Notamacropus eugenii: one gene and its partners. The protein of the gene in region 2 purifies or fractionates together with the protein of the main gene of each other region. This does not show direct contact. Links are inferred from orthologs where the notes say so. Each region holds a gene or a part of one and is shown on either strand. Other genes may lie near its edges.

Evidence for each region.
Region 1: the proteins of CTBP1 (region 2) and ZNF516 purify together in Homo sapiens (co-immunoprecipitation; 4 studies listed by BioGRID and IntAct, counting the BioPlex papers as one, with this or other methods). This does not show direct contact. The link is inferred for Notamacropus eugenii from reciprocal best matches to the Homo sapiens genes CTBP1 and ZNF516.
Region 3: the proteins of CTBP1 (region 2) and ZBTB18 purify together in Homo sapiens (affinity purification with mass spectrometry; 3 studies listed by BioGRID and IntAct, counting the BioPlex papers as one, with this or other methods). This does not show direct contact. The link is inferred for Notamacropus eugenii from reciprocal best matches to the Homo sapiens genes CTBP1 and ZBTB18.
Region 4: the proteins of CTBP1 (region 2) and WDCP purify together in Homo sapiens (affinity purification with mass spectrometry; 3 studies listed by BioGRID and IntAct, counting the BioPlex papers as one, with this or other methods). This does not show direct contact. The link is inferred for Notamacropus eugenii from reciprocal best matches to the Homo sapiens genes CTBP1 and WDCP.

The regions. Positions count from the first base shown.
Region 1 is NC_092875.1:206,431,910-206,438,798, reverse strand, and holds the start of ZNF516 (zinc finger protein 516), read right to left. Parts: upstream 3,004-6,889; 5' UTR 2,765-3,003; intron 1-2,764. UniProt on the Homo sapiens protein: Transcriptional regulator that binds to the promoter and activates the transcription of genes promoting brown adipose tissue (BAT) differentiation.
Region 2 is NC_092877.1:48,808,582-48,816,120, forward strand, and holds the start of CTBP1 (C-terminal-binding protein 1), read right to left. Parts: upstream 3,012-7,539; 5' UTR 2,969-3,011; exon of another isoform or gene 2,822-2,968; intron 1-2,821. Other genes in the region: E3 ubiquitin-protein transferase MAEA, read left to right, coding at 3,823-3,891. UniProt on the Homo sapiens protein: Corepressor targeting diverse transcription regulators such as GLIS2 or BCL6. Has dehydrogenase activity. Involved in controlling the equilibrium between tubular and stacked structures in the Golgi complex.
Region 3 is NC_092873.1:405,072,854-405,079,933, reverse strand, and holds the start of ZBTB18 (zinc finger and BTB domain-containing protein 18), read right to left. Parts: upstream 3,020-7,080; 5' UTR 2,933-3,019; intron 2,837-2,932; exon of another isoform or gene 2,749-2,836; intron 2,164-2,748; exon of another isoform or gene 523-2,163; 5' UTR 452-522; coding exon 439-451; intron 1-438.
Region 4 is NC_092872.1:761,414,648-761,422,556, reverse strand, and holds the start of WDCP (WD repeat and coiled-coil-containing protein), read left to right. Parts: upstream 1-4,890; 5' UTR 4,891-5,056; intron 5,057-5,974; exon of another isoform or gene 5,975-6,301; coding exon of another isoform or gene 6,302-6,430; intron 6,431-6,745; coding exon of another isoform or gene 6,746-6,858; exon of another isoform or gene 6,859-7,909. Other genes in the region: peptidyl-prolyl cis-trans isomerase FKBP1B, read right to left, coding at 6,302-6,430, 6,746-6,858.

The DNA of each region.
Region 1 (6,889 bases), on a different chromosome or scaffold from region 2:
ACTATGACTTTTTTTTGTCACCATCTTAAACAATTAATTTTATGCACTTTTTTTTTTTTTTGGCCACAGGCTACTAAGGTTGGTGGCACATCACAATCTTAAACCCCTTAAGACAAAATATAACATGGGGATGAAAATGGTTGCTACACTATGACATCTATTTCTCATTTTTTCTAAAATAAGGCCACAGAACCACTGTGAAACATAATAAAATCACTTATATTTTCTCCCACTTTAACAGGTTTCAGCTTGAATCTAAAAGCAGGGCATATGCCTACGTGTTTCATTATTACATGAGTGAATAGCTGGAGTGCTATCTTTTGGACATCTACGTGCAGTTATATAGATTAAAGTACAGCAGTATCCACACACAGAGAGTCATGCACAAATCTGTGTAAATACAGAAGCCTGCCTGATTAGCACGGGGCTAGGAGGATTTAACAGTATTCACTCACACACTCACACACACACACACACAATTACCTCAGAGCTTGAGAAAGAGGTTCCGGATTGGACGTCTCAGCTGTCACTCACAACGAGGGGGCAGTGAGATGCAAATCAGGGATACTTTGCATCGGCGTTTCCTATTCTTTGCCACTTTTTTTTTCCATTTAATGATAAAACAACTGTAGACCTCAGAAACTTGGGCATCTGCACGTAAAGACTGTGCCTCCCTTACCAAGTAGGGTGTCAGTCAATAATCTTTTACTTCACAGGGGAGGGAAATGGAGACAATTTAGCAATAACTAAGGCGGGTCAGGGGGAGGGGGGCTCGTTGGGACTAGGGGGAACCTGAGAGAAGGGGGGAGTCGATGGAGGGGTGAATAGCTAGGTCTCTACCCGAAAGGGAGACTTTGACCTTTCATTGATTTCCGAATTGAATATTTTTGTCCCAGGTCAGATTATAACACACGCCTGTCTCTAATTTATGAACTCATTAGTCTAATTTCATTATTTAATCATGCGCCAGCAATCGTGTTTCCTTAAGAAAGAACTGACCTATTTTTGGCTGGAGATAAACGATCATGTTAACAGATGTTAATCTTGTAATCTGTTTTTCCTGTAAGCACTTTACATACCCGCGTTTCAGACATTAAAAATAAAATCTTTTCCAAAAGAGTTGACGTCACATTTCGACTCCTTAAAAAAGCACTCCCCCAATTTTTCCCCCTGCAATGATTTCAAAGACATTAAATCTTTTTCACTTTATAAATGATGATTTGTTCTGCCTCAACTCCCACAGGCTTTTATTTGCATTTCAAATTCCACAGGTTACACCAGTCGCCTTTTCAGAAAATGTAAGCCAACAATAAGGCAGCAAATGGGTTTTTGTGCATCTGGATTAAATAAAGCGCAGAGTGAATACGTTCAGAAAGAGGTCCAAGCAAGTTGATCTTTGCACATTTAGAGTCCAAGTGACTCTTTATCAATATGCGCAATGAAATGAGTAAGATATATACACATACAAAGCACATTCCCCAGAAGATCCTAGTCTACTGCTGGGAGCTTATTAACGCTCATAATAAATGGTGCTGACTACAGACCCACACTTTTCAGTTAAAATACTGGGTCTCTATGGTCCTTAATTGCAGAGGTTAGCTGGTTTTTTCAGAAAACAACGGCTGATTGTCATTCCACCATCACAAACCTCTCATTTTAAATACCCCCACTAGGCTAGCTTTTTCACAAAGTTACCCATACGAAGTTTCTTAAAACTTGAAAAAAGTGGTTTAATCCAAATGAGGATCGTAACTATTTAGTATGCTAATTCTCACTTGAAATGAAAGATGAGGCATTTTTTTCCAACATGCGCCCAGTCTCCCCCCACATTATCTAACGTTGCATTTTTTATTTCCCATATTATCTATATACAGTATCTATATTAGGAAAAATAACAGCTCCCATCCCCACCCCACCCCCCAAACAGGCTATTTCATCTTCTAGTAGTAATTGCCACCCAGACATTGTCCTTCAAGCCCTTTTCAGCATTTCAGAGTCATTACATGAATAATTGTTTCTCCCCACTCCTGACTCACACCACACACAGACCCCCCCCTCCGCCAGTGTGCCCCAACTTCCCTTTAATAAGCCGTACACTACTTTAATGCCTGCTTCAGTTCTGTGCTCTCAGCTGATGGGATTGTAACTAGGGAAAAAGGGGTAAAAAAAAAAAAAAAAAGACCCGCACCCACACCCACAAACACATTCACAGGACATCAGGCGACTCATGCACACACTCAATCAATACTATCAGCAAAGCCCTTAATAATTTAAGTGGTTACTCCAGACTCGGAGCCCCATTACCCACCTTCATTAGCCCGAGCATTTTACTTTAAAGTCAGGCAATTTGCTCTTTGTTTCTTAATGGATGAATGTTGCATCCAAGCCCCCCTCTCCCCCCCCCCCCCATCTTCCCCTGTCGCCTTTGACGAAGTATACAAAGCGAAAGGCTTCTTCAAGCTCGGAGTCCCGGCCCCCCCTCCGCCCCCCTCCACTGCGGTAAAAAAAAAAATCTCCTTTTCTCCAAACAGCCCAAAGTTCCATTTTTAAGTCTTCAAATTACTCAGCAGATTAACTATTAATTGGAAAAGCGAAGTTTCCCTCCCCACCTCCCACGTCCCCCCCCATCTCCAACCCCCCCCTCGGGCGTATCACCCCAGGATCCCCATTACCTTGAGTACCCCCCACGACCCCTACTTCTCCTCCTCCACCTCTTTCTTCTCCCCCAAGAAGAGTGGAGCTGAGATCTCTCTGGGCCCCTTACCTTGCTGAGTTAAGGTAATGTTATTTTTGGAAGGACGCAGACAAACAGAAGAATCTGAAGGTGAAACCATGCGCTGAATGCAAGAAGGAAAGGACTGCACATGATTGACTGCGCCAGCTCCACTCGGGCCGAGGGGGGACGCCGGGGGAGCCAACCGCTCGCAGCGCCCGCCGAGGGGCCCCTCCCCGCCGGATCTCCCCTCGCCCCGTGGCTCGGAGGCACTGCAGTGGCCCCCAAGCGACGTGGGCAGAGAGGACTTCTCCTAACCAAGGCGTTTTCTGGAGCCTTTCCCACATGTATAGGTTGGTGTCTTCCCCCGGTAGGAGAAATGGTCTGTCCTATATTAAATGCACACTATCTACTATTGTCTCATCAGCACAAAGTTCTGCTACAATGCGGGGAAAGTCTAGATGCTCCAAATGACTCATAAACAAATAATTGTTCTGCTAATAGCATTGAATCATTATCCGATCCTGTATTTGTCCTACCTTCTTCCAGATGACCAGCCCTGCCTGACTTCGGGGCTTCAATTGCTGGATGCACTAAACAGACATATGTAGACACACAGACACACGTATGCGCCTACACGGGTCGGTTATACATTTGTAGAGAATTTGGGCACTTGGGGACAGATCCATTCTCTAGAGCTCTGAAAGGTTTGCTTAGATATGGATACATAGTTTCAAGCTGTCCCAGATGCATGTATATTACATATGGTTCGGTGTGTGAGTGCCTGTGTGTGTCTGTGTGTGTGTTTAACTCCCTGGTAAAATATTTATAGATTTATTCAAATGCACAGTAACAACACATTAAAGTTCTCAATCAAGATCAAAGAGTTCACCGGTTACACTGGAATATTTGAAAGACCTCTCAACAGTATTTGTGCCATATGGCTTTTGTAGTGTTGTGTGTGTGTTTAACTTTAATCCTTCAAAAGTTCAAATCTTATTTTTCTGTTTTCAGAACTCAATTTACCCAGACTACATTTAGCCAAAGGCGGAGCGGCTTATATCGCCCTGTGCATTATAATTTAACCCCATGAATTTTGGTGCTATCAAGGGTGTGGAAGGAGCCTTTCCCACTCTTCCCCTCCCAACCCCCCCTTCTGTCTGTGTGTCTTTCTCACCTCCCCACCCCACCCCACCCCCCCAACCGAAACGAATATATTTTGGAAAGGGCAATATTCTATTCTCCTTCCAGGTCTTTTCCCCTATTATAATTCCGGAATCCAGAAAGTCACTGTCCAGTAGAACCCTGAGTGGTTCTTGCTAGACAAGCAGCCCTCCAGTTGAATCGGTTACCTAGCGATGTGGTATTTCTACGCAGAACAGGCAAGCACGGCTGGAATGCCCTCCAACTTCTGGCACTTGCAACGGGAAGTACTACACAGTCAAACTCCAAGGCAAGGTCCCCTTGCCTGGAGGAGCAACACTCTCAAAGAAGTGGATCTGGAGGGGAGGTGAAGGTGGGGAGGGAAGTAAAGATTCATTGAAAAGAGAGAGGAGAAAGGCAGAGGGAAAAGAGGAGTGAGGGAGAGGAAGGGAGAAAGAAAGAGGAAGGAAGAGATAGAGACAGAGACGCCATGAAGGATACACGAATCATAAAAAGTAAGCTATGTGTGATTAATGATCTGCACTAATTTGGAAAGCTGGCATGTTAAAGGTCATTGACAATTGTTGCTAGTTTCAGCGTGAATGCCTGAGTGGGATGTTTTCTTGAACAATCAAATTTCAGTCTAATTCACAGGAAAGTACTGAAGTGCACACAGTCCATTGCAATGCACAGTAAAACACACCAAAGTACAACTCACATTCCACTGGAAGTTCAGCTCATTACCCAGATAAGACAATGAATGGACAGTCGCCTTGACTCAAAGTTATATACTTTGGAAGATTTTAAATTCAATACCAAATGCATGTCTCTATATTCTTTAGAAATACTTTATTACATACACCAGGAAGGTAAAAGCTGCATGGGCATGTTGCATTACTTGCAATTTTAGTAGTAGTTTGGTATGCCTTTAATAGAAAGATTTTTAAAAATCCATTATACATCTGCATTCTTGGATTCTACTTAAAATTGCAGTATCTGCTAATAATCTCCACATGTTGAAAATTGACAAGTTAAGAGCAATGAAAGGTGAGTGGTTTCCAAGTCCCTTTACACACACACACGCACACGCACATGCACACACACACACCAACAACATTCACAACCACAACAACAACCTGTGATTTTCATGGCTGCCTTTTTTCATAGTCAACATAGGGTCTTTCCTTAAGACAGCTGCTTGTAAATTCACTCAGGACTGTGCCTGTTGTGGAATAATATTGTGCTTCTAAAATATTTTTTCCCCACATTTTCTTGATTAGTACCCAAAAATCAGGAAAATTAATACAACAGACAAGCAGAAGTTAACTCCAAATCACCAGCTTGCTAAAAAAATCTAGAGAAGGGCAGCAAGAGCTCAGCATTGTTGTGATTTCAGTGAAAATCTCATCTGTGACCATCACAGCATGTTTACATTGTTCGGACAGGAAGTCAACAGTAGCTGTTTATAGTTCTAGGCAACATTAAAAGGTAGATTGCTGGAGCTCATCCTAATAGACTCCAGAAAGTCACTATAAAAAAATTCAAATATTTTATTCACATAACCAAATCCAGCATTGCCAAAAATTCAGCTGTTTAATATTTTCATACATTTAAAGTAGCCTATTAAAGATTAAGGAACACCATTACTCCATTATATAAATCCCTGAAACCTTCCAAGAGAGGCACTCCTGTTTTGAAATCTTTTAGTTAAATTACAGTATTTGGTGAGAGTATGTCAGTGATATTAATGGTTCAATACATGTTTGGCTATTTATAATTTTGTTCATATAATAATTCTGGCTAACGAAATATATGGAACAGGAAACATTTATTTTCCGTTGCTATAATCTAATAAATTATTTGTTCAGCATTGGGAACTCTGCTTTCTCAAGCTAAGGAAAATGGCATTTTGATGAAAATCTGTGCAATGGCTTGTCTGCATAACTTAGCTTTAGGAGTGATTGGTGGAAGTTTAGATAAGAAAGGTTCCTGAGAAACATTATTATAGGATAGCTAAGAATAAAAGACCACGTCTGTCTGAGAGCGAGAGGTAAAAACACACATGGTAAACTCCTAGATAGTCAAACCAAACAAGCTCTGATTAATATTACACCTATGTTCATCTTCATAAAACTGTAAATAGAACAGTCAGACAGTTTGGCCTGCTACTGTTTATTTGTGATTATTTCATTTAAATTATCTCAGTGTCTGAATTTAGCAGAAATTTCTCAGATAGAGTAGTAAGGCCCTGAAATCTTGGGACAAATCTTACCTTTATATCTCAGAACTCCCTTAAATTGGCAGATTTCCCTAGGGATCTGGAGAATAAATTTGACTCCAAGTCTAAAGTATTCATGGATGAAGACTTTTCATATGTGGCTTATATTCTAATTTAACCAAGGATAACTTTAAAAACAGAAATTAGAATTTCAAGATTCTGTTTAATAACTAGTCATTTCCAAGGACATTACCAATATCCATAGTCTGACTTTTAAAAATTTTCTTTTTTTCATAAAATACAGACACATTGAAATCTGTTGTATTTAGAATTTAGGGAGAAAAAGATCTAATCTATGGCTCAGCATAGACCATTACATATGGTAAACTCCAGCAGAGGGTGTTCTATGAAGATGTGGCTGGCTAATTATTTTTAAAATATAATTTTCAGTGGAATGGTTTTAGATTGCTTGCATAAGAATTCAACAATATTTTCCTCCTTGACCAATTGATTTTATTTCATTAAGAATTTTATTCCATTGAAGATAAAGAATATTTTGTCAATGAGCACTTTTAAAATCTTATATATACAAAAGAGGGTTCTGATTTTTAAAAATGTGGAGGGTGTCCTTGCCAATCCTTATCAAAATACTCCAATGTTTACATTGAGAAAAGTCCTAATCAAACATGTCTGTCGAGATACATTTAGGGTCAGGCTCTGATATTCTTTTTGCATAGTCATGGCTAAATCAAATGCACTTTTTGAAATAATACTTTTATAACAGGGAAACAATAAAAATTCATATACCACCATTT
Region 2 (7,539 bases):
GCATGAATAAAAATTGTTTTAAACTTTAAAGCAAATGCACAGAAGAGGCAATGGTTTATAGTATAGAATGCTTAAGTAGTTTGTCCAAGAGAACTGCAGAACAGTTAGATTAGAGGTCATAAACTTCTTTCCCCACACTACTCCATCAATCTTTCTAGGAACGAAGAACTAGATTAGTCTTTGATGCTACAAAACTTGGTATTGCTACTGAGACCTCCAAAAGCTATGAGTAAATTGATTCTTTTTTTTTTTTTGATGAAAAATCTTTACTTTGGATGCCTGATTAATATGCAGAGAACCAAACAGTAAGGGTTCCCAGTATTTTACTCTTTAAACTTAAACTTAAAATACTGCCCCCCCAAAAGGGAAAGTTATACTATACCTCCAAATAAAACTAATTCCTTAATGTTAAAAAAAAAAAATTTAAGCTATATGGTCTCTCCAGTACAAAGTTCCCAGAAGTAACAGACCAGAGCTTAACTATTCCATGTCTTAGTTACAATGTGGCGATTAGCCTTAGTGTGGTATAAAGTTATCACTTCAACATCAAAGTGGGGTCTGCTGGTTTTCACTAACTCCTTTTTGATTTAAGCTCTAATTCCTAATAGAAAATTTTAAAAAATATTCTATGAGATCTGTAATCTAGAACTTATTTGTAGAATGCGTTTTCCCAAACCCCTTGATAAATCAAGAAAAGTTTCCGTTAAGTTTCAGATCACTTTCCACCCCACTAGATGCTATTACCTACAACTTCTGTGCAGTATATGCAGACTTAAAAAAAAAAATGTATGAGATGTGTATCTTCTCAAGTTTTAAAGCAATAGCTTATGAAGTTCCCAATTAAGTTGATGATCATTTTCATAAAAAGTGACAAATCAGCTGAAAGAAATTCAAGGCATCTTTAAAACTTGCTTTTCTTTATTTTGTAATCCAATTAATTTTCAATACAGCAGCAGTTTAACAACATAACACTAAATTAAAGAAAATAATTTACCATTTCATACTGGATGCCAACTACCCAAAAAGATAAATTTTGAACCAACCATTAAACAAATATCTTATCTATAAATTAATTTAAAATGCTCAATCCTTTTCTCTTAGTTTTAATAGGAAATCAGACTTCCTAACCTCAGATGAGAAACTCAGGCTAAGAAGCTTTCCATGAAATCATTCCAAGCCAACAATTGTAACCTTAAACCGATGACATGCTTACAATGCACAGACTATATAAATATTTATACATGCTACCAAGAAGGGTAAATCAGTTGACATTCAGCAATTAAAGCTGCCTCTCTGAAGTTGCAATACTTAAAGGTTAAAGATTAGACATGCTCCCTCTTGTGTTAAACTAAGAATGCATGCTGTTTTCTCTGACATGCCAGTGCCACAGCCATCTGTTCCATTAAGTAAACCCTTTAAACTTTGGCTACTCATTCTCCCACCAAATCTTCCAGTTTAAAAGTAAATTAACTTTGCGCCCTGTACTGTGTATACACTGCCTTATTGGGGGACGGGATCAGCAATATCATAGTTATTATTTACCGCATAACACCCAAAATTGCATTGTTCACAATGAAATCCTTAGCGCCAAACATAAACAAAGTGCCAGGAAGATAAGGCTTGCCTTCAGTTCTCATGGATAATAATTCATATACTGAACAAATCCTGTCTCTCAAGTAACAGAAACCTGACCGTTGGGAACCAGAAAAACCTCCCTGGCCGGGTCAGACTTCCAACAATCCTTCCCGAAGGGCTCCCACGAGGCCAAGGATCCCTTTTATAGTCTCCACCAAATGAAGGGGACACGTTTTTGGAGGCGCTGGGGGCACGAAGTGGCGATCAGACAGGGTTTCTGAAGCTTCGAGTTTTGACAGACGGGGGAGGGCAGGAGTTCAGAGGGCATAAAGAGACATTTTGGCGAAGAGAATCAAGAAATGCGCTTAGTGACAACGCGGGGTGGCCGCCGCCTCCAAGACGCGAGCAGGTTGGGGGGTTAACCGCACCGTCGCCGCTCCCCGCCCCCCGTCCTTAGTGCGAAGGGGAGAAGAAGCCTCCGCAGCCGGCTCGGCCGGCGCAGCCCCAGCCCGGGTCAAGTCCCGGAGCGGGGTGGGAGGGGAAGCCACCTCTGGATTCCGGAGGGGGGTCTCCCTCCCCCCGAGGCCCGTCCCGCACCGGCTGCGCCCCCGAGGGGGAAGCGGGAGCAGCGGCTCCGGAGCTGGGCCGGGGGAAGGGAGAGCCCCAGCCCCGGCCGAGCGCTTGGGAAACCCGCCGGCCTGGTTCCCGGGACGGGGAGAGGCAGAGACGCATTCTTATTAAGAACGGGGAGGGGCTGGACGGCCGCAGAGAAGGAAGCCGCTGGGCCCCGAAGTTTTCCGAGAGTTGTCGGGCCACCCCCGGGAGTGCACGAGGACATTCCTAGACGGCCCGGCCCGCCTCCGAGCAGAGATCCCTCCGCCCCTCTCCTGCACGCGGAGGGAGCCCAAGAGCAGCTCGCTCCGCCGACCCAGAGCGCGCCCGGGGTGGGGGTGGGAGAGAAAACGGGAGCGCGCGGCGCGGGAGGGGGCTGGGGGCGGGGCCGAGCAGCGGTTGGGGCGGTTAGAACATTAGGAACGTCTCGGCAGTAGGGCCGCCCACTCCGGAGCCGGGACTGGGGGGCCTGCCCACCCCCGTACCCTCCCACCTTCCTGCGCCCAGATCCCAGGCCCGCCTCCCTTCCTGGGTCCTGGCTGCTCTGCCTTTCCCCCCACCTCGGCGGCTGCCCGCACCCGCGTGGGAGGCACAGAGGAGGGAAAGGAGCAGGGGCAAGGGAAGGGGAACTCACTGGGTTCTGAGGAGGGGGTCTCAGCAGGGTTAACCCTGTTCCCGCCACCAGCGTCGCTGCCTCCTGTGTGTTCAATTCACTCCCCTCCTCGACACCCCCACCCAGCTTCCACACCCCCTTCGCCCCTCCCCCACCCAAGCAACTTACTATCTCCCCGAACACCGCAAAACTCCTCAAACTCCCCACCCCCTCCGGACACGCCCCCTCTCCCTACCCACCCCTGTGCCCCCTTGCTCCCGCCTCCGCCATAGTCCGCTCGTTTGGTTTGCTGAGGAAGCTGTCAATCAAGGAGAGCTTTCTCTCCTTATTGGGTCGAGAGCCTGCCAGTACATTCCAGAAGTTCCTGGTTTCCCACCCCGAAAAGTGGTCCTGCATAGGGGCGTCCCTGATTGGCCCCCATGACCATCTAAGGCTCGGAGGGCGTCTTCAGTAGCCCAAGCAATTTTATACACTCGTTTGTGAAGCTAGAAGCACCTTTCGTCAGGGTCTCCATGTTTAGAATAAAATTTGTCATTGACCGCAGCCCCTAGCCATTAAATATGTGGGAAATGGAAACGTCAATCAGTCTACCTGGCTGGCCCCGCCTATCACGTCAGAGTCAGAAGGAAACTAGGTCCCTGATTGGCCCCTGGGCGACCCCGGGCCAATTGGGAATCATCACTGTAGCCCTGGCGTCTCAAAAACGAAATACGCCTTCCTCCTTTCTTTTCGGTCCAGTAAAAAACGTCTTCATAGCCTACGCTTTCCTATGATTGGAAGAGAATCATGAAAGGAGGGAGTTGATTGGACTATCCCGTCGTCCTTTCACGCATCCCTGCCCAGAGCTGTGCGTTCTTCCGCCACCACAGGCGGTTGGGCGGAAGCGATTGGCTAAAACGCCTGCTCCCTCCCGGTAATGGGTGGAGGCGAGGTGGGAGGGAAAGGAGAGCTGTCTGTTACCCGTCATGCACCGCGCCCCGGAGGTGGCTCCCTTTGGTCTGTAATGTTTTGGCCAATCCAAAATGGCGGTGCAGGAATCAGCTGCTCAGCTTTCCATGACCCTGAAGGTGCAAGAGTATCCAACCCTCAAGGTGGGTGCCGAGGGACCCGCCTAAGGGGAAAAAACGCTCCGCCGCCCCCCTGCAGGAGGAAGACTGGCTAGCCAGGGGCCACACCACGGCGCCACCCGGAGCGGGTGGGGACTCGCCTCCCCCACTGGAGCGGAGGGCGCGGGGTCTGTCCACGCCCCCGGCGGCCCGGGCTGGGGCGGGGACGGCGAGCGCGGGCTCGGGGCCGGGGACCCTCTAGCCAGGGGGGGGGCCGGGAGGATGGCGCCCTGGCTGGGGCGGAGGGTGGGGGGTTGGGGTGGGGTGATGTGGTGGGGGTGACCGCCCAGTCATTGCGGGGAGAGGGGGAGGGGGACCACTGGGGGCTTCCCCGCCCCGTCTGGGAAGGGTTAATGGGGTGAGGGGCACCAGGGGAGGAAATGAATCTGGACGGCCCCCCACCTGCCTCCGGGATGCCCTGTCTTTTTACTTAAAATAATGACCCAGAGGCCCTTGTAGGGGGGAGTACGGGGCTGAGGAGCGAGCGTCCGCGGATCCCGAGCCTTCCTGGGGCTAACACCGCCCAGAGACGTGTAGGATCGCGCATCTCGGGGGTCATCCAGCCCAGCCCCCTCCCTTTTGCAGACAAGGAAACTGAGGTCCGGGGAGGGGAGGGGAGTTACCCACTGAGCAGCATTTGAACCCAAGGCGTAGTGGCTCTTACTTCGATCTTGGAAGGAGCCTTAGAGGTCATCCAGTCCGACTCTTTCATTTTACAGATGGGGAAAGGAGATGGCTATCACACAGGTATTAAATTACTAGGCTGGGATTTGAATCCAGGTCCTTTGACCCCCAATTTAGCTTGCTTTCTTCCACTCACTGTACTTGGCTGCCTCACCCAGTCCTGAGGGAGAATAAATCGTCGGGTTTAGACCTAGAAGGGGCCTTAGAGGTCGTCCAACTCCCTCATTTTACGAAGGAGAAAACTGAGGTTTGGAGAAAGGAAGAGACCCAAGGTTATACTGTAATTAGACCAAGGAATTTTCACCAAATGTTCTGATTTCAAATGTAGGACATTTTAGGTTACACCACAACTGGCTAAGAATGATTTGTGGGAGGTGGGGAAGGAAGTCACTTGGAAAGTAAAGGGAAGATTGTTCTGTTGAGGTTGTGTTTAGAGCCCCAGCTGTTTCCAAGTAAGTATCACATGACAAGGTGATGAGTTCTAGCTGAATTCTTGGGGTAAACTAATGGAAAAAGAATCCTAAAACGGGGGAGGGAGGGACGTCTTTTACAGATTTCATGACTATCCTGTATGCTCCTTGTCACTCATAAGATCATTTATTCTCCTCCAGTTGAAGCATTGTTTAAATCATTCATTCCTTTAAGAAACATTTATTGAATATTATCTGTATAGGACACTATGCTCTGTCCTGGAGGAGATAAAAATTGTAGATAAGACAGTCCCTATTCTCATGTTACAGTTTCTTAGGATTTGATAAGGCACACGCACAGATAATCATATTTCAGTGACATCTAATTTCATCTCCTTTGATAGCAACCCTTCTGTGATTTAGTAGAAAGTCTTCAAGACTTTTAGTGACCAGAAATCTATCACCACGCAGACATTCTGGTGATGAGCTTCTCTATATTATGCTGCCCATCACTAGACCCATAAAGTCTGTCTTATAGATACCTATAAGGTATATAAATATATCTATATTTAGATAGTTCTGTGATTACTTAAGATTTTTTGTTCATGGCATTTAATTTCCCACTTTAGTGCCTTTGTACTGGTAGTCCCCCTATATCTGGAATGCACACTTCTTCGTACCTTTCTTTTAGAATACCCAGTTTCTTCTAAGTGATGACACTTGCTCAGTTGTTAGTGCCTTTTATGTCTTGAAATTATTTTTGCATTACTTTGTATGTACCCTGTATTTGAAAACTTGTACATATTGTATCTACTTTTTTCCAATGGCTTGTCAACTGCTTAAGGGCAGGGACTATTTTTCTTTCCGTTTTTGTATATGCAACACCTAATGAGGTGCCTTATACTAGTGAATCTTTAATAAACATTTGTTGGATGAAAGGGATTTAAAGTTGAAAAGAACTTTAAAGACCATCTTGTGTACCTCCTCATTTTACAGATGGGGAAACTTAAGTTTAGAGGGAAATGATCCTCCCAGGGTAACACAGAGAATGGTTCTCCTTTGAATTCAAGATCAGTTGAACACAAATTAAAGTTGTATGACACTCTCCATTCAATGAATAGCTCTGTGACCTTGTATAAATCACCTACAGTACATACCATTATCATTAACTTCTCTTAATAAGAGGAAACAAATTTATTTCTTAATATATTTGCACCACACATATATAACATACCTTTGATCATTAATAAGTAGAGTGCAGTATCCAAGACCTTTTGGATCCAACTCTTAAAATTTCAAGGTCATGATAACTATTAGAAATATATTTAAATGGCTTTTTGTTTTGAAGATCAGCATAGTGAAGAAAAAAGAACACATCTGGAGTCATCGGATCTAGGTCTAAATTCCCACCCTTCTACTTCCCACCTGTGTGACTTTGAGCAAGCTCTTTCACTGGAGCCTCAATTTCCTCATCTGTAAAATGAAAGGTTTGAACTAGCTGTGCTCTAAAGTCTCTTGCAGCTCTGAATTAACCAATCAGCAGAAGTAATGGATTCAGTTCCTGGCAGGCCACAACTTTGTTGCTTTCCAGAAGAGCAGGCTGCACTCCTTAATCCTGGTGAGCCATTAAGCTAGTTATAAGCACCACCGAATGAGAGTGTTTATGAATTACAGTGACTCTGTCTACCCTTTTGGAAATCATTTAGAGGATTATCTGCATAATGTCAGTATTGGAAAGATAGCACACTCATGGGATTCTAATAAATAACACACATTTGAGTATCTGTGAAGAAGATAGATAAGAAATAGAACCACATCTGTGTTCCACAAACTGTAGGTGAAATGATGCAAATGTGGAAGATTAGTGTCTCTTTTAGGCCAAATTATCATAGGTGATTATCATAGAAAAAGAAAAGAGTGTGCTATGGCTTTACATAGTGACAGATTTGAAATAAGCCAGGAAGAAATATGAAAGGGAGGAAGAACGCTAAATTCTTGATTCTCGATGACTGTTTTTATTTACTGACAATAAAAGGGGTTGAAATCATAGCTTTTCTCAGTTTTTGGCTTAGGAGCACTATCTACACTCGAGTCACTGAATAAAGAAATTGCCATGAAGAAAAAACTTCCCTCTTTTTGTGGCATAATTTAATGGAAAGTAAACAGAAAGGAAATTAGTTTCCCCAAAAGGAGGCACATTGATAGGTATTTGTTACTTAATAATTCAAAACGTGTCATTTGAATCAAAGATCTATTCAACATTCTTTGATTAAATAGTAACTAATAGCTAACAAGAGAGGATTGTAATCCCTTGTAAAATAGGTTTGTCAGGTGCAGACTAATTTTGGTTGTTCATTTTGTTTATTAAAAAAAAAAATCTACCATCATGATAAATTGAACTTCCCCTATTTTATCTCTTCTTTGTGTATATCATATATGATTCCTTCCTTCTTGACATTTAGGTGATCGTGCATGCCATGTGGTAAGTAAGAATGTTTGTTGATAGATTTCTTAGAATACTTTTGAGAATGATGCACAG
Region 3 (7,080 bases), on a different chromosome or scaffold from region 2:
TAAAAGTGTTAAGAGTATAATTCATTATACAATCAATTTAGTTTCTCAACTAGAACAATTCTTCCATAAAAAGTTTGAATACTTGATTCCATACACTTTGCTATTTAATATTCCTCAAAGCAAAAGGGAGCTAAAATGTCAGTGAAAAAATAAAACAATTTAACTTAAAGTGAGCTCCATAAACAATATATTTCAAAGCCCTACTTACATTTCAAAATTTGCAATACCTATATGTATTTTTAAAAGTTATTGATTCAAGTGTAAAGGGACAGATAATGCTGCAGTCCAAGCCTTTCGACTACAGCAAGATGTTCATTTAATACTCAATTTCATATATAATCCCTAAACTTGGTTAGAAAAGTAATGTGATTTTTCCAAATTAAATAAACAAAACACCAAAACAGAAATATGCTGAATCTAATCTATTGCTACTCCTACCTTTAGTACACATAAACCTGATTAAGTCCTTTCCTCTGAGTCTTGCTGGCTCCAGGTCTGTTAGATCGGTGGAAAAAAAGCAGACTAAGAGAGACAGATGCAAAGTGGAGATGATGTTAGAGAGGAATGAGATACCTTCTCCACACACAGATCTGCACACACTAACTCCCTGTCTGTGTGTTAGAATAAAAGGCTGAGGGATGGCAGGCTGTCAGCTGCTCTGACATCATGTTCAGATGGAAATGCTACCTCCAGCTGTGCTCCTTTTAATGCCATATGCTACTCCTCTACACTCCTGCCACCAGCTTTTTCTTAGGAGAACTTTTCTCTTCTGTTAGTATAAACAAAATACTTCAAAGTCTCCTTTTTTTTCCCAAACTTTCTAACAGAAGAAATTGAAAAACTAAACATATGGAGCTCTACTGTATTTATGGAATAGCAACACTTGTGTCTTAAGTTGGTGGACTGGCTTATATATTGACAGGATACTCAAGCCACAGTGCTATTCAGGAAATCCACAGATTCACTTTTATTCAACTTAGAGGGTTCGTTTCAAAGGCAGCTTCTTTGGGATATTTCTAAATCAAACCCATTTGACTCTAAATCTATATTCCCATTTTAACGTTAGCATAGGGCTTCCATTTGTTTTTCTGCTGAGATAATAATATACATGTCACAGGAATGTTGGGAGACTTATTGGAAACTATTACTTCAGCCTGGTTCACCACAATTATTCCACTCATACTTAACTACTTATCTCCAACTACCTTCTAAGTATAATTTCTCATACTGTCGTAATCAATATCAATTCCAATTCAAAATACCAACAAGCTGAAAGCTTTACTTTTCTAAAAAATGCTGAGAAGTGATTACATTCAGTGAAACAAACTAATAAACTGGATACAATCTGTAACAGAGGATTAAAATGGCCATTGCACCTGCATATCTGATCTAACTTTCTGGCCAAAAAAGCAGAACCTTGTCTTCCCCTTGATCTGCTTCCCACAACAGTATTTTTGGGGTCACGCTGTAATTTTACTGATCATAATAAAGAGGTCCCTCATATACATAAGTCCAGTTAGTGCAGAAAGTTTTTAACTGGTTTGGGGGGGGGGGGTTTAATGGCTGATGAAATAGAGGTGTAACCTCAGCTGGACAGAATGGTGCTACGCATGGTGCTACTGACATCTGTGAATGTCAGATTCATCCCCAAAGACCTTTGGAAGGGCGAGGTGTGAATGGGGGGGTGGGGAGAGAAACATGGCCTTATAGCTCAACTGTAAGTGCCCCAGCTCAAATGTTAATGAACTGCATCCACGTTAGGAAAAAAGTGAGGAATGTTAAATGAATGGCAAAGTCAACAGCTCTCCCTTCCCTCCAATCCTCAAAAACTAACTTTTCCTAACAATGAGTTTATTACTAAAGTCAATTAGACTTGGTAGTCTAAGGATCCGCTCCTTCTGCACAAATGTCCTCTCCCTGCTCCCCGTGATCAGCCATGAATCACCCCATTTACTCAGTGGGGTGGGGGTAAGTGACAGTTTAATGGGTCCCCAACACCGCAATGGACTGGGCGACTCCTCACTCGACCAGTCGACCCCGCTCGCTCTGCTGCTGGTCCAGAGAGGTTGAGGTTTTACTTTTCGTCTTTAAAGGGGGTCGGAGGAAGGAGGGAAAGGTGCCAATCTCTAGTTAGTACGCTCCAGGTAAAGCACGTTGGGCAGATTTTTTAAAGGGGGTGGGGGGGAAGAGGGTTCGGCCAGAAGGAAAGACTCGGGACTCGCGGCCAGCCCACAAGAAAACACCTTCAGCAACAGAAGAAAACAGAGCCGGGTCACAGCAGCAACAAAAGAAAAGTCGCCAGAAGAAGCCAAAGCGAGCAGAGTGCTCGCCGCCGCTTCCCCGACGCCCCAGCAGCCGGCCCCCGGGCCTCGCCGCAACTGCACCAGCACCCGCAGCCCCCTGCCCCGGCCCGGGCGCCGCCGCAGCTGCACCGCTCCCCCAGGAGCCCCGTCCGTCCCGGGCGCCGCCGCAGCTGCATCGGCTCCCCAGCCTCCCCCCGCTTCCATCACCCCCTCCCTCCCGCCCCCGGAGGCTCTGCAGCTGCACGGGCCCCCTGCCCCTCCGCCGCAGCTGCACCGGCCCCGAGAGGCGAGGCGGGCCCCGCACCGCACCCCCGGGGGGGGCGCCCCGCCGGCCTCCCCGCAGCTGCACCGCCCCCCGGCGCAGAGCTCCAACAGCCCGAACCACGCAAACTAACTCCGCTCCTCCGAGACGAGCCCCGGCCCGGCCCGGCCCCTCCTCCCTCACCTCGGGCTCACTCTCTCCCGGCCCCCCGGCTCCCGGGGCTGGGGCTGGAACAGCTGGTGCGCCCTCCCCCCGCCCCGTCCTGCCCCGGGCCCGCCCTCCACTCCCTGACCCCGGGCCGGGCGGTGGGGGAGGGGGCGGGAGGGGGGCCGGGGTCAGGGGGAAACGTGCCGTAACCGGGACTCACACCCTGGAGCGGCCCTAAGTCACCGCGTCCCCGCCGCCGCCGCCGCCGCCGCGTCCGCGTCCTCCTCCTCCTCCTCCTCCTCGCCGCCGCCGCTCCCGGACTTGGTGGGCTTCCTCCTCCTCCTCCTCCTCCGGCCCCCCTCCCTCCCGTCCCCCCCCCACCCCCCCAGCCCCGGCTCCGTCGCCCGCTCCCCCCCTTCCCCCTTCACTCCCGCCCCCGTTGGCAGCCGGAGGAGCGCGGCGGAGCGAAGAGGGCCCCACTCTCAACGGCTCCCCATGGCAGCAGCCCAGCGGCGGCCGCAGCCAGCCAGAGACACAGCGAGCGCAGCGCCGGGCGGGGGTGGGGGGGTGGGGGGGAAGGGAGGGGGAGGGAACGGAGAGGGAGGGGGAGGGGGCTGGAGAGGGAGAGGGGGAGGGGGAGGGGAGCGCGGGCGGGGGGACGGGGGAGGGAGGGGGTGGGAGGACGCACCACGCACGCACGCGGCGGCGCCGGCCAGATGTTTCCCCCCTCCTCCCCAATCCGACCCCCCCACCCCCCCTCCTCTCCTCCCGGCACCCTCCTCCCCGCGCCGGCTTCCGCGATTGACAGACGGCGGCTGGACCGGCGCTCTTAGCCCGCCCCTCTCTCTGTCACCCCTCCCCACCCCGCTTCCTCCAATAAGAAAGTGGCTCTACGGGAGGATGGAGGGCGAGCGGACGACGGACAGTGTGCCCCCCCCAATGGAGGAGGCGAACTAAAGCAGTCGTCCGCGTCGGCCAATTGGAAGGTGGGGATGTCGAGGGAGGGCGGGGCCCGGGCTTGTGGGCGGGGCCGAGCGTGGAGGCTCGCAGCGAGGCCGTGCGGGGTGGAGTTGTTAGTGCAGCAGCGGCAGAGGCGGCGGCGCTCCGGGGTGACTTGGCCGTGAGAAAGTGAAAGGAACCCGCGGGCGGCGGCCACAGCTGCTCTGGGAGGAGCTTTGTTTCCAGCCCTGGACCGCGGGGCTTCTCCCCCTGTCGGGGTGCCGAGGGAGGGTCTCCAGTTCCCAAAGGGAACAATAAATACCCTCCTTTAGTGGTCTTGACCGCTGCGAGCGGAGCAGGTGTCCCTGCGTGCCCACGGACGCCCCGAGTGCCCGAGCCTGGACAGTGCCGGGGGTGCCTCCCGAAGCGAGCCCTGCAGGCCGGCTTGGCCCGCTCGGCGGCTCCCGGCGTGCGGAAGGCTGAAGTTGCTAGGGACAGTCCTGAGTGGCCCATGTCAGTAGTCACGCGTCCAACTGGAGTTAGCGAACTCTGGTGTCCCTGGCGGAACTGGTGCACCCCGTACTGCACACCCTTGGTGTCCATGCCCAAGGGGCCGGCGTCCGCCCGGTACTGCTAACATTGGGCCGAGGTGCCCTTACAAACACAGCCATGGTCAGGGAACCTTTCCTGAGATGCCCTGTCCAGTACCTGGCAGGAGGCCCCGCTGCTGAACTGAAGACAAGAAAGCAGAGAAAAGATGCAGCCTTCCTCTGTTTCTTTTTGGAAACATGCAATCGCCAGTAGGATTTTGAGAACCCTGCTATTTTTAAGACACCCTACTAGGCCCCAAGGGAATTTTGTTTAAAATATAGAGATCTACCCTCAAACATCCACTGCACTGTTGCTGAATGATAACACGAGTGAAAATCAGATCACAATAAAGTACAGTTTAAAACAAGAGGCAGTAACTAATCTCTAATTGAGTGGTTGTGTGCCACCTATGCCAACTGGGGGCACATCTGGAGACCAACGGTTCAAATGTGGTTTGACTGACTGACTAGATAGGTGAAAGTACTTTAAGTGCACTATTTTCAATTGACCAAATTGTTAAAGAGCTTTTTAAAAGGTTTTAAAAAAAACCATTGTTAGATTTGATTATCATGTTAATCATAGGAAAATGTTAGAGCTGTAGGGGACTTTAAAATTCTGTCTCCAAACATAATGAAATTAAGCAGCTTTTCCAAGCTTCTACCCCTAGCTGACAGAATAGAAACTCGAACCCACATCCACTGACCTTCAGTTCAGTGTTCTTTTCACTGCATCACAGAATTTGGAGAATTAAACACAAGAGAAATCAGTATTCCCATACCATTAGTCAATTTGTCTAAATCCTTAACCAGTGTTTAGACTCTCCTGTGAGCACACTAGTGAGCTAAGAACTGTCATCAGAGTTTTTAGTCCTTACAATTCCCTGATAGAGGTATACTTTTGAAGAGTCCTAGATCTACTGGTAGGAAGTTCCATTTCTAATAGACTCCTATAAAACTTGCATTTAATACATGAATGACTTGTATTTCATTAGCAAACTTTGTTAAGCAGGTATTTGTGCAGAGCAAGGAAATGTAGTTTTGATTAGACATGGTCCTTTACTGCATGGACATAGCTTACCTACTAAGAATTATTTAAAATAATTCCCAAAAGATATAAGCTATAGGTCACTAAATAAGGAAATAGTAAAAATAATTTAGTGGGAGGAAGAGATCAGAATTCAGCTTAGGAGAAGCAAAGCATGAGAATGCAGAGCTTCAGTGGCTGGCTGAATAAAATGTAGACACAAGTTTTTACAGTACTCTCGTGAGAAGCAGAATAACTTAACCACCAATCTCTTAGGAGATCAGATAGATCATAGACTATGGAGAGAGGGTAGAAACTTTAAAAGTTTCTGATGTATTTACAAGGTGCTATTTTTTTTCCTAATACTCGTCACTTAATCACAGCCTTGTAGCTCCAGAGCTAAAAGGGACCTCAGAGACCATCTAGCTTGCCCAACTGCTCTAGATAAGGAAATGTAGGCCTGGGATGTTAGGTGACTTCGTAGGATCATAGCTCTAGAATTCTGAGAACATCCAATGCAAACTCCACATTTTACAGATGAGAAAACCAAGGCTCAGGGAAGTTAGGACACTTGTCTAAGGTCACATAGGCTGTAAACATCAGGTGAAATTAAAACCCAGGTCCTCTAATTCAAGAGCCAGTGATATCTTCATGCCTTCCTCACTGTGTCACAGGGCCCACTTTTAATATGTTAGTAACGGGCAAATTCTGGAATGCCCTGTGCCATTCCCCAAATAACCTATGAATTTCAGGAAAATCCTGCTTTAAAACTCAAGCACTTAGAGGCTGTACTGATGACTAAATCCCTTGTCTGTGAGCCGATTCTATACTGGAAGTAGCACATAGGTTTTGTCCATAGCAATTTTGTATCAGAAGGTTGAAAGAACAAATTAAATTTGACAATGTCTTAGAATGAATATTGGAAAGCTTATAAGGATCTTGTTTAAATATTTGAAATATGCCCTTAAGAAATAGATGCATTGAAAAGTTACCTATAAAATTAATTTATATATTTTTAATATTAAGCAGCGAGGTACAGTGGAAAGAGTGCTGTACTTGGAAGTTCTAGGAGCTGAATTCAAATTCTTACTTCGGCACTTATTAACTTGTGTGACTTTGGGTAAATCATACAATCTCTCTGGTCCTTATTTGTAAAATAAAGTTGTCAGACTATGTAAACTCAAATATTCCTTCCAACTTTAATGATTCCATAACAAACACAAATTCAGAGCAGCAAGATTTTGAGTCTAAAGGAAAAACAATACCATGTGAAATGTAATAGAATGGAAGATGAACATGTGAAAAGTCATTCCGCTTCCATCAACCCTATTTCCCATTATTCTGTGTCAAGATAACCTACAGCTTTCTTAAGTTACCCAGATCCTATTTCCTCAAACTTTGTAGAAATTCCTGGCTTTCAGAGAGGAATAGCTTGGTCTGGGGTAAAGAGAAGAAACAAGCAGACAAACAATAATAGTATATATAAACTTAAGTGAACCAATTGAAAGACATTGCAATAAATTAAACAGTGGGCACATCCACTAAAACAGAGTCCAAAAGGCCTGAACATTCAATAAAGTGAGTTGTGTATCACAGCAATCCCCTAATTCATAAATCCTACACTACTGAATTTCCATAAGCAGCAGTTTTTGAACAATATAATATGCTAAATGACTCCCTACTGCCTGCAAGATAAAAATACAAACTTCTCAGCCTGGCATTTAAAGCCTTCCACAATCCACAAAATACCTTTCCAGGCTTATTTCATATGACTCCTTCAAAAACTCTGTTCTAGTCAAATTGGTCTGTCAGGTG
Region 4 (7,909 bases), on a different chromosome or scaffold from region 2:
TGTTATTAGTAACATTAATACACTGGGTCATGTTGTTAATGCCCCAGGTGGTACAATTACTATTCTTCAACTGATCCTTCATCACTTGAAAATGCCTATCAGGGGTGGTAGAATTTCTCCACTGTAAGGTTATTTGAGAGCCACCTGCATGCAGTCATGCTCCTGGGATCCAGGCAAAATTTTCTGAGATGGTGTACAGCAATAGCCATATCCTTAAAAAACACTTTATTCCCATAAAAAGACATGTATTAATGGAACATCATATAAGGTATCGTCTCCTGAGTAACAAACCAGCACTGTATTATTTTTTCCCTCAGCTATGATTTCCACGGCCTTAGGCCAGTCTGTAGGCTTATTTTTATCCCATGCCTTGGAGTCAATTGTCATATTGGTAGTACCAAATCCTCCCCTTCTGGCATCAGAAGATTCTGGTGTATGAATTTTGGCCCATTCAAGATTCAGGCAAGGGATAATAACTAGTTGGGCAGCTCTCCTTCTGTTGTAGGATAAGGTTCAGTATCCAAATTTTGCAAAATTATTTTAATTTCTCCAACATAGTCGGAGTCAATTACTCCTCCTAGTACACCTACTCCTCAAACAGCTAAACTTGATCAGGATAGTATCTGCCTATAATGGCAGTATTTTGAGGCTAGGGAGAAATGTGATTCCAGAATTGGGGCCCAAGTACATGCACCCAAGCACCCCATCATTCCCCTCTTAAACAGATGGGACCCAAAATCTTTCTGGGGTAAGGGATGAAGGTCTCAGATTCCGAAACTGCTTCATGCTGAGATTGGACGTAGAGCTGTCCCTGCCTTGAGAGGTCCCATTCAGGGGGTTGGTTCTTCAGTCAGTGTCAGGAACATGATCCAGGTCCGGACAGTGATGTGTAATGGTCTCAGACAGAGGGTGATATACAGCCAGAACGGTCATCTGCGAGTGGAAGGAGCTAAACCTGGAGGAGACAAATCTGGCAAGGAGATTAAGCAAACAAAGGCCAAAAAATGACCAGAAGGGGTGAAATATGGGTTGGTATCCCTTAGGCAGGGCCATCTCAAATCTGGCAGGGTACTGATTATCAAATGAAGTGACAACCCTTTTCTGTCTTCTGAAGATTCTTCCCCCCACTCTCTCGTCAACCATCGGAGCCTGGTACAAAGGTATCCGGAGCAGCCGTCTGGAGACAGGAGAGGCTTGGATGACCCCCATGTGTCCCCAACCTTCTCTGCCTTCTGCATTCTCAATCAAACCTTTATTTATCTTTCGAAATCTCTTGGGCCCATTGTTCAGGCGGCTTCACTCTCCTTTATATCCCTACCACGGACGAGATAGCTCACAAGTGATCACTCTTCACTAGCATGGCTGCATCGCCTTAAGCAGAAGGGGTCTCCAGCTCGAACCTCACAGCTGAGCAGACGCGCCTCGCTGTTCCACAGGCTTGTTTGTCTCCTGATCGCTCACTCTGGAAGGGAAGCTTCAGAACTCAGCTGTCGCCGCTGCCCCCGGCGAGTCCGGACCCAGCGCTAACTCCTGCTGAGGCGCGGGGCAGCACAGATGTGGGTGGAGACCGACGTCCTGCGCTCCGCGGTCACCCCGCATCAGCTCTGCGGTCACCCCGCATCAGCTCGCGGTCACCCCGCATCAGCTCCGCGGTCACTCCGCATCAGCTCGCGCATCAGCTCTGCGGTCACCCCGCATCAGCTCGCGGTCACCCCGCATCAGCTCCGCGGTCACTCCGCATCAGCTCGCGGTCACCCCGCATCAGCTCTGCGGTCACTCCGCATCAGCTCGCGCATCAGCTCTGCGGTCACCCCGCATCAGCTCTGCGGTCACCCCGCATCAGCTCGCGGTCACCCCGCATCAGCTCGCGGTCACCCCGCATCAGCTCGCGCATCAGCTCTGCGGTCACCCCGCATCAGCTCTGCGGTCACCCCGCATCAGCTCGCGGTCACCCCGCATCAGCTCGCGGTCACCCCGCATCAGCTCGCGCATCAGCTCTGCGGTCACCCCGCATCAGCTCTGCGGTCACCCCGCATCAGCTCGCGGTCACTCCGCATCAGCACGCGGGCCGTCCCGAGAACGGAAACTCGGCCGCAGGGGACAGACGCTCCCTCTCCTTCTAAGAGCCAGCGGCCGCCTGGTCCCGACGCCGGCACTAAAGCCTCCGGGGAGCGCCATGAAGCGCTCTAGCCGCGGCTCCCTTCCTTCGAAGCAGACGCTCACCCCGGAGCCGAGCTGTTACCAAGGCGCCCTCGGGCGATGGGGCCCCGAAGCCCACGGACTGAGCCCGCAGGCACGGCGTGCTACCCGAGGAGCTGTGACGGCGTCGCGCCGGGGGCAGCGAGAGGCTGGCCGCGGAGAGCCCCTTCTGAACAGCGGGAGCGTCTCGCGGGGAGTCTCCGCGCGTGTCCCGTCTGACGGCCCGGCGAGACGACGCCACGGGCCCACTGTGACTGACCGCAGAGAAGGAAGGCGCGGCACGTGACCCGCCGAGCGTGGCGGGCGAAGCCCCTCGGCTCCGTCCGAGCTCAGAGGGGTCAGACCCTCCGGCCAGTCGGGCGGGAAGATCCAGGACACTCGGTTCGGACACGCGGACAGGGGGCCGGGAGCTCGTGGGCCCGCAGGAAGGCGCACGCGGCCCGCTCGGGGCGGCAGCGGGAACCCCCGAGACCGCCCGGTACCGACGGGACCGCAGCGGTACCGACGCGGGTAGAGGAGGGGACGGGGAAGCGCTTTGTTCAGGGGCGTGGGACGTCCCTTCACGGGCGGCCCCGGCGGCCCCTGGGAACGTGCCCACGCGGACACGAGCGTGAGGCGGGACTGGCGCCCACGCGCCGGGGCTCCCCGAGCACAGCTCCTCTACCCGCCCGGCTCCGTGTCTTGGGGGCTGCGTGGACGTCTAGGAGAAGGAGCGGGCGGGGTTTGTCACGCGCGTTTTTGACCTCGAGGCGGGGACGACGGCGCCGGGTCTGCCACGTGGCTGCCACGTGACTGCCCTGAGGTGGCGGCCCGGGACCCGCGGGATCGCACCCGAGAACGCCGCCCGCCTTCTCCGGATCTCAGACCTTCCCACCGCCGGGCCTGTGCCCCTCGCGGGCCCCTGGGCACGGCGGCCGTCCGTGAGAGCGCTGGTGGGGGGGGGCGGTATGCGGAGCGCCCCCTGCTGTGCGGGTTGGGCGCGGTGTGGCCCGGCTCGGGTGCACAGACCCGGAGGAGGCCTGGTTGTTCACGTCGGGACTGGTCGTGACTGCCCCGTGGAGGGGCGTTCCACGGCCAGTCTCGGTCCGTGTCCCGCGTGGCAGCGGACACCCGCGCGGAGAAGGCCCACCGCCCCCTCCCTGGCGCACCCCCAGCTCCCCGGCCCTTCTGACCGCCTGCACTGCGCGTGGGACGTGTTCTGCGAGGGTCCGAGTGTCCCCCTGCACACGCAGCAGCTGCGGGGCGTGGGGCTCCTGCCCCTGGGGACGGAAGGTCGGGGTGCCCTCTTACACGGCACGTGATGGGTCTGACCCACGGGGGCACTGCCTTCGTGCTCCAAAGCGGACGTGGCTCCTCACGGTGCCCTGCCTGCGTGTTCTCAGCAGCTGCCGCCAGCTCCCACGTGCCCAGGGCCCTGGCACCTCCGGGTACGCCCCCCACAGCAGGGGGTTCGCCCACGGCTGCCGGGCTGTGGACCTGGAAAATCGGTTAGAGAGAAGGCAGCGGGCTGATGCACACATCTGTGATCTAATAATCGATGGATCCATTCCCTGTCACAGACAGCGGTAGCACAAGGCATCGCGGAGCCGGGCACGTCCTGACTGCCCGGACAGAGACCTGGGCGGCCTTCAGTCTGCTTAGGACAGCCGTGTCCATGCCCTCAGACCCGCGGTCTCCAGGTGACTGACCGGATGTTAGGAAGGAGCTTCTTAATGGCGGGCTCCCCATGGAAACACGACCAGGGCTAACACGCCATCACACGGTACATGTCTGCACATAGGAAGACATGGAAACGTCCTGTTATCCAGGAGAGTGTCCTAGGTTAAAGGTCTTAAGGAATGTTACGTCAGCCCTGGCGGGCTCTGGGGGCACAGGAGGAGCCCTTCTCTGAGCCAGGAGATGATGCCAGAACGTCAGTGCCAGGGGGTCAGGGGCACCCCCCCCCCCAGAGCGGGCACCACGATCCGGGTCAGACGGCCTTGGGGGGCGGGGGCCGCTCCCCGCGTTCTGTGTCCTGCTCCGGGCCCGCCCCCCTCCCCCCGTTCTGTGTCCCTGCCCCGCACCCCCTCTTCTCCGCCGGGGCCGCCCCCTCCCCCCTTCTCTGTCTCGGGGCGCCCCGCACCCCCTCTTCTCCGCCGGGGCCGCCCCCACGCGGGCAGAGGCGGAAGGCCTTGTCACCCCGCGGCCCCTGGGCGCCCCGAGCGAGGTTAGGGTGCTGTGAAGGCTTTTTCATGATAGAAACATGGCGAGTGGTGAAAACCTCAGCTAAAACTCTTGCCCGGAGGCTGCCCGAGCTCCCCCGCCCCCCTCCTTCCTATCGGGCGGGGTCACGGTGTCGGGGTGAGGGGCATTTCCCGGGGTTCGCGGCCCCCAGCCAGCGGGGGGGGGATAAAACTGCGCTTCGGGCTGAGTGGCCGCCCTCCGGCGGGTCCCCGAGAATTGTGATAAACCTTTGTCTTTCTGTTCTTATCGAGAAGCTTATTCATTTATTTAAGGTTTGGAGGAAGGGTCTTTTTATCCCACACACCTCCGTGGACCCCGGCCCCGCCCACGTGAGGGGGACCCCAGCCCAAGGAGAAGGAAGAGGGCCGCGACCTCGGTCTGCCCCGCGGAAACCCTCCCCATGGCGCGTGCGCCGGTGCAGAGGAGACGCGTCACGTGACCCTCCGCGTACGCCGATAGCGTCACTTCCTGGCGCGACGCGAGACACCGGAAGTGAGGTGACCGCCGCAGAGAGCGGCGCGGGCGCGAGGCGTGGTTTCGAGATCTCCCGAAGCCGAAAGTCCGTACTCTACCCCGCCAAGCTCCGTCCGAGAGTCCGCGGACTTCGCGGCCCCAGGAGCGCCGTCCGGTGTGGGTGAGTGAGGCGGAAGCGCGCGGCGTCACTTACTTCCGGGGCGGGTGTGGCGTCACTTCCGGCGCGTGGGGGCGGGGCCCGGCCCGGCCGAGGCCGCGGCTCTGAATGGCTGCGTGGGCCATGGCTTGCCCGCGCCGGTCTGCCGGGGCCCCCCCCCCCCCCCAACCCCCGCCGGGATCGCCCGGTGGCGAGGAGCTCTGTATTTAGAAGGCCCGAGGAGCCAACCTGGATTAAGCGCCTCCTGTATGCCGGCCCCTCGCCGGTCACCCCGGCTGCCCCCTGGCCCTTGTGTAACTCGGTGCCCCAAGGACCTGAGCTGGAACCTCCGGGTCAGTGCGGGTCCGGAACCGAGCGGGGGGACGGGGAGGGGCGCCCGTGCGGGGCACCGGGCCGAGCTCTTTACCACCAGCCCGTGAGGTGACTGGCCCAGGCTCACACAGCCGGTCCGGGCTGGGTCCGGGGGCCGAGCCTTTGCCTCTCGCCTGTCCAGCGCAGGTGCCTTTCATAGATAAAAGCCCTGATTCCCGGGAGGGGAAGGGCCGCGCCCGGAGCCGCTCCCAGAGGCCTCCCTCGTGTCCCCCGGGCTGGCCCCCTTCCGCGGGAAGCCTTCTCTGTTAGTCACTCTCACTGTGTCTGTCCCGGCTCCGTGAGGCCGCCTCCGCCTCTGTGTGCGCCCAGTGCTGCGCACGTTTCCAGGCACAGGGTGTGTGCCCCGTCGGTGTTTACCGGCTGACTTCCCGGGCGCCCGGCCCCGCACTGTTTGAGGCGCCCAGGAAGGGGCCTCCCAGCCCTGGGAGCTGCGAAGGGGAGTCCTGGCTGACCCTGAGGCGGGCAGCTCACCGCCCCCCCCCGCCCCCCACCCCCGAGAATTCGGGGGCCCCACCTCCCCTCCCCCCTCGGAGTCCGGGGAGGCCGCGAGGCGAGCACAGGGCTTGGGCTGGCCTTTATTTCGCACGTGTCTCCGTCCCTAAGGCCCGGGCGGGGTCGCAGGCAGCGGACAGACGGACAGGCGAGGCGGGCGGACTTGGCTTCATAGATAAAAAGCGCGCACACGGCGCACACGCACACGCGTGCTGTCACATGCAAGTTAAAGGAAAGGTCCAGCCCGAGCACGCTCCGCCGGCGTCCGCTCGGGCCGAGAAGCTTGCCCGCGCAGGGCTGGACACGGGCACGCAGACGACGGCGGACATCGCTGGCGTGGGAGCTTGGGGACTGGGCGGAGACGGCGTGAGCACGCGCCTGCGCTCACTCTAACCGGAGCAGCTCCACGTCAAAGATGAGGGTGGCGTTGGCAGGGATGACTCCCGGGTGCCCCGTGGTGCCGTAGGCCACGTCGGGAGTGCAGGTCAGCTTCGCCCTCTGACCCAGGCTCATCTGACAGGTGTGGGGGCAGGGAGGAAGAGGGGAGAGAGACAGGGGGGGGTGTGGGGGTGGGTATCTGCCCCCCACGATCCAGCTGCCCACAGCCCAGGGCACACACTAGTCGGTGTCCTCCCCATGCCAGCTCAGCTCCCCTGTTCTTTCCTACATTCCTGATTCCCTCTCCTCCATGACAGCTGCTGGGGAAAGTCCCAAAGACATGGTGTGAAGACAGGGGTCTCAGGAGCAAGGAGGTCGTCAGGGCACTTCTAAGTAACTGGGTGAGGAGCAGGTAGCAGCGCACAAGGCTGCCACCCTCAGGTGCCTTACCTGGGCAGTGCCTTCTTCAAACCCCTTGATCACTTCTTGTCTGCCAATCTTGAACCTGAAAGGCTTATTTCTGTCTCTGGAGGAATCAAATTTCTTCCCATTCTGGAGCATTCCTGCCAAGACATTAGATTAGTATCAGCCCTGGGTCTGAGAGGAAGCTGCGAGCCCTCCCCTTCTTCTACTCTCCTCTCTTCCCTTCTCCTTCTCTTTCTTTGGTGGAGGAAGTGATGGCCACTTCCAGGGTCTGAGTCCTCAGGGCAGGTCAGAGGGTTCCCCAGCTTAGACCCATTGCCCTAAGGTACACAGAGTTAGCCCCTGCAGCCCAGACTGTAACTGCTCTGGTGAATAATTCATGGTGCTGACAGAGTCCATCGAGGAGCCCAGAGGCTACATATCCTGAACACTTTCTGTGCTTTCCTTAATGATGGAGAAATGGAAAAGGGATAATCCATCAAGAAGCATGGATTAATTGCATGCTGTATACTAGGCCCTGAAAAGCAGGAGCCACGTTTCCCATAGGCCAGTACCCATCCTAGGAGGCAGGGAGACCCATTTCATACTGGTCATCCACGAGGGCTCCTTCCAGGCTCCTGGCCCGTGGTGGAGGAGGACTCTGAGATGGAGACCTGGAGAACGTGACCATAATCCTGCTGGGGCACTCTCTGTCTCACAAAGTTTGGCCCTTATGTAGACTTGAGTGAATAGAACGTGTGAGAGTCCCCAACATGGAGCCCTGTAATCGTGGCACCAACGTTGCCTGGATTCTTTAAGAGCTGTCTCATTGATTGGTCTTCCCCAGACTAGCAGGGAGCTCCACAGGTGACATTTGATCACCTGCCTCCCTGATCACCACACCTCACCTGCCCAACAGGAGGGCAGAGGGTGGGGACATCCATTTAGCCCCTGCTCCCTTCAGGCCCTGGGTTAGTGGGTAAAGCATAGGAGGGGCAGACAGCATGACCTCTGCTGCTTGACCCCTCTAAGGCTATACAGGGAGAAGAGGTGGTCGCCTGTGCAGAAAGACTGTAAGGAAGGGGCAGCCTTCTCCCCGTCCAGGGACAGTGGGCACAAGTGGGCCCTCAAGCAAAGCGTCCCAGAGCCCCCACTGAGTGGCAGGGGCTGCCCGACCAGATCCCCGAGACTCAGTCCATTCCTTTATGTCCC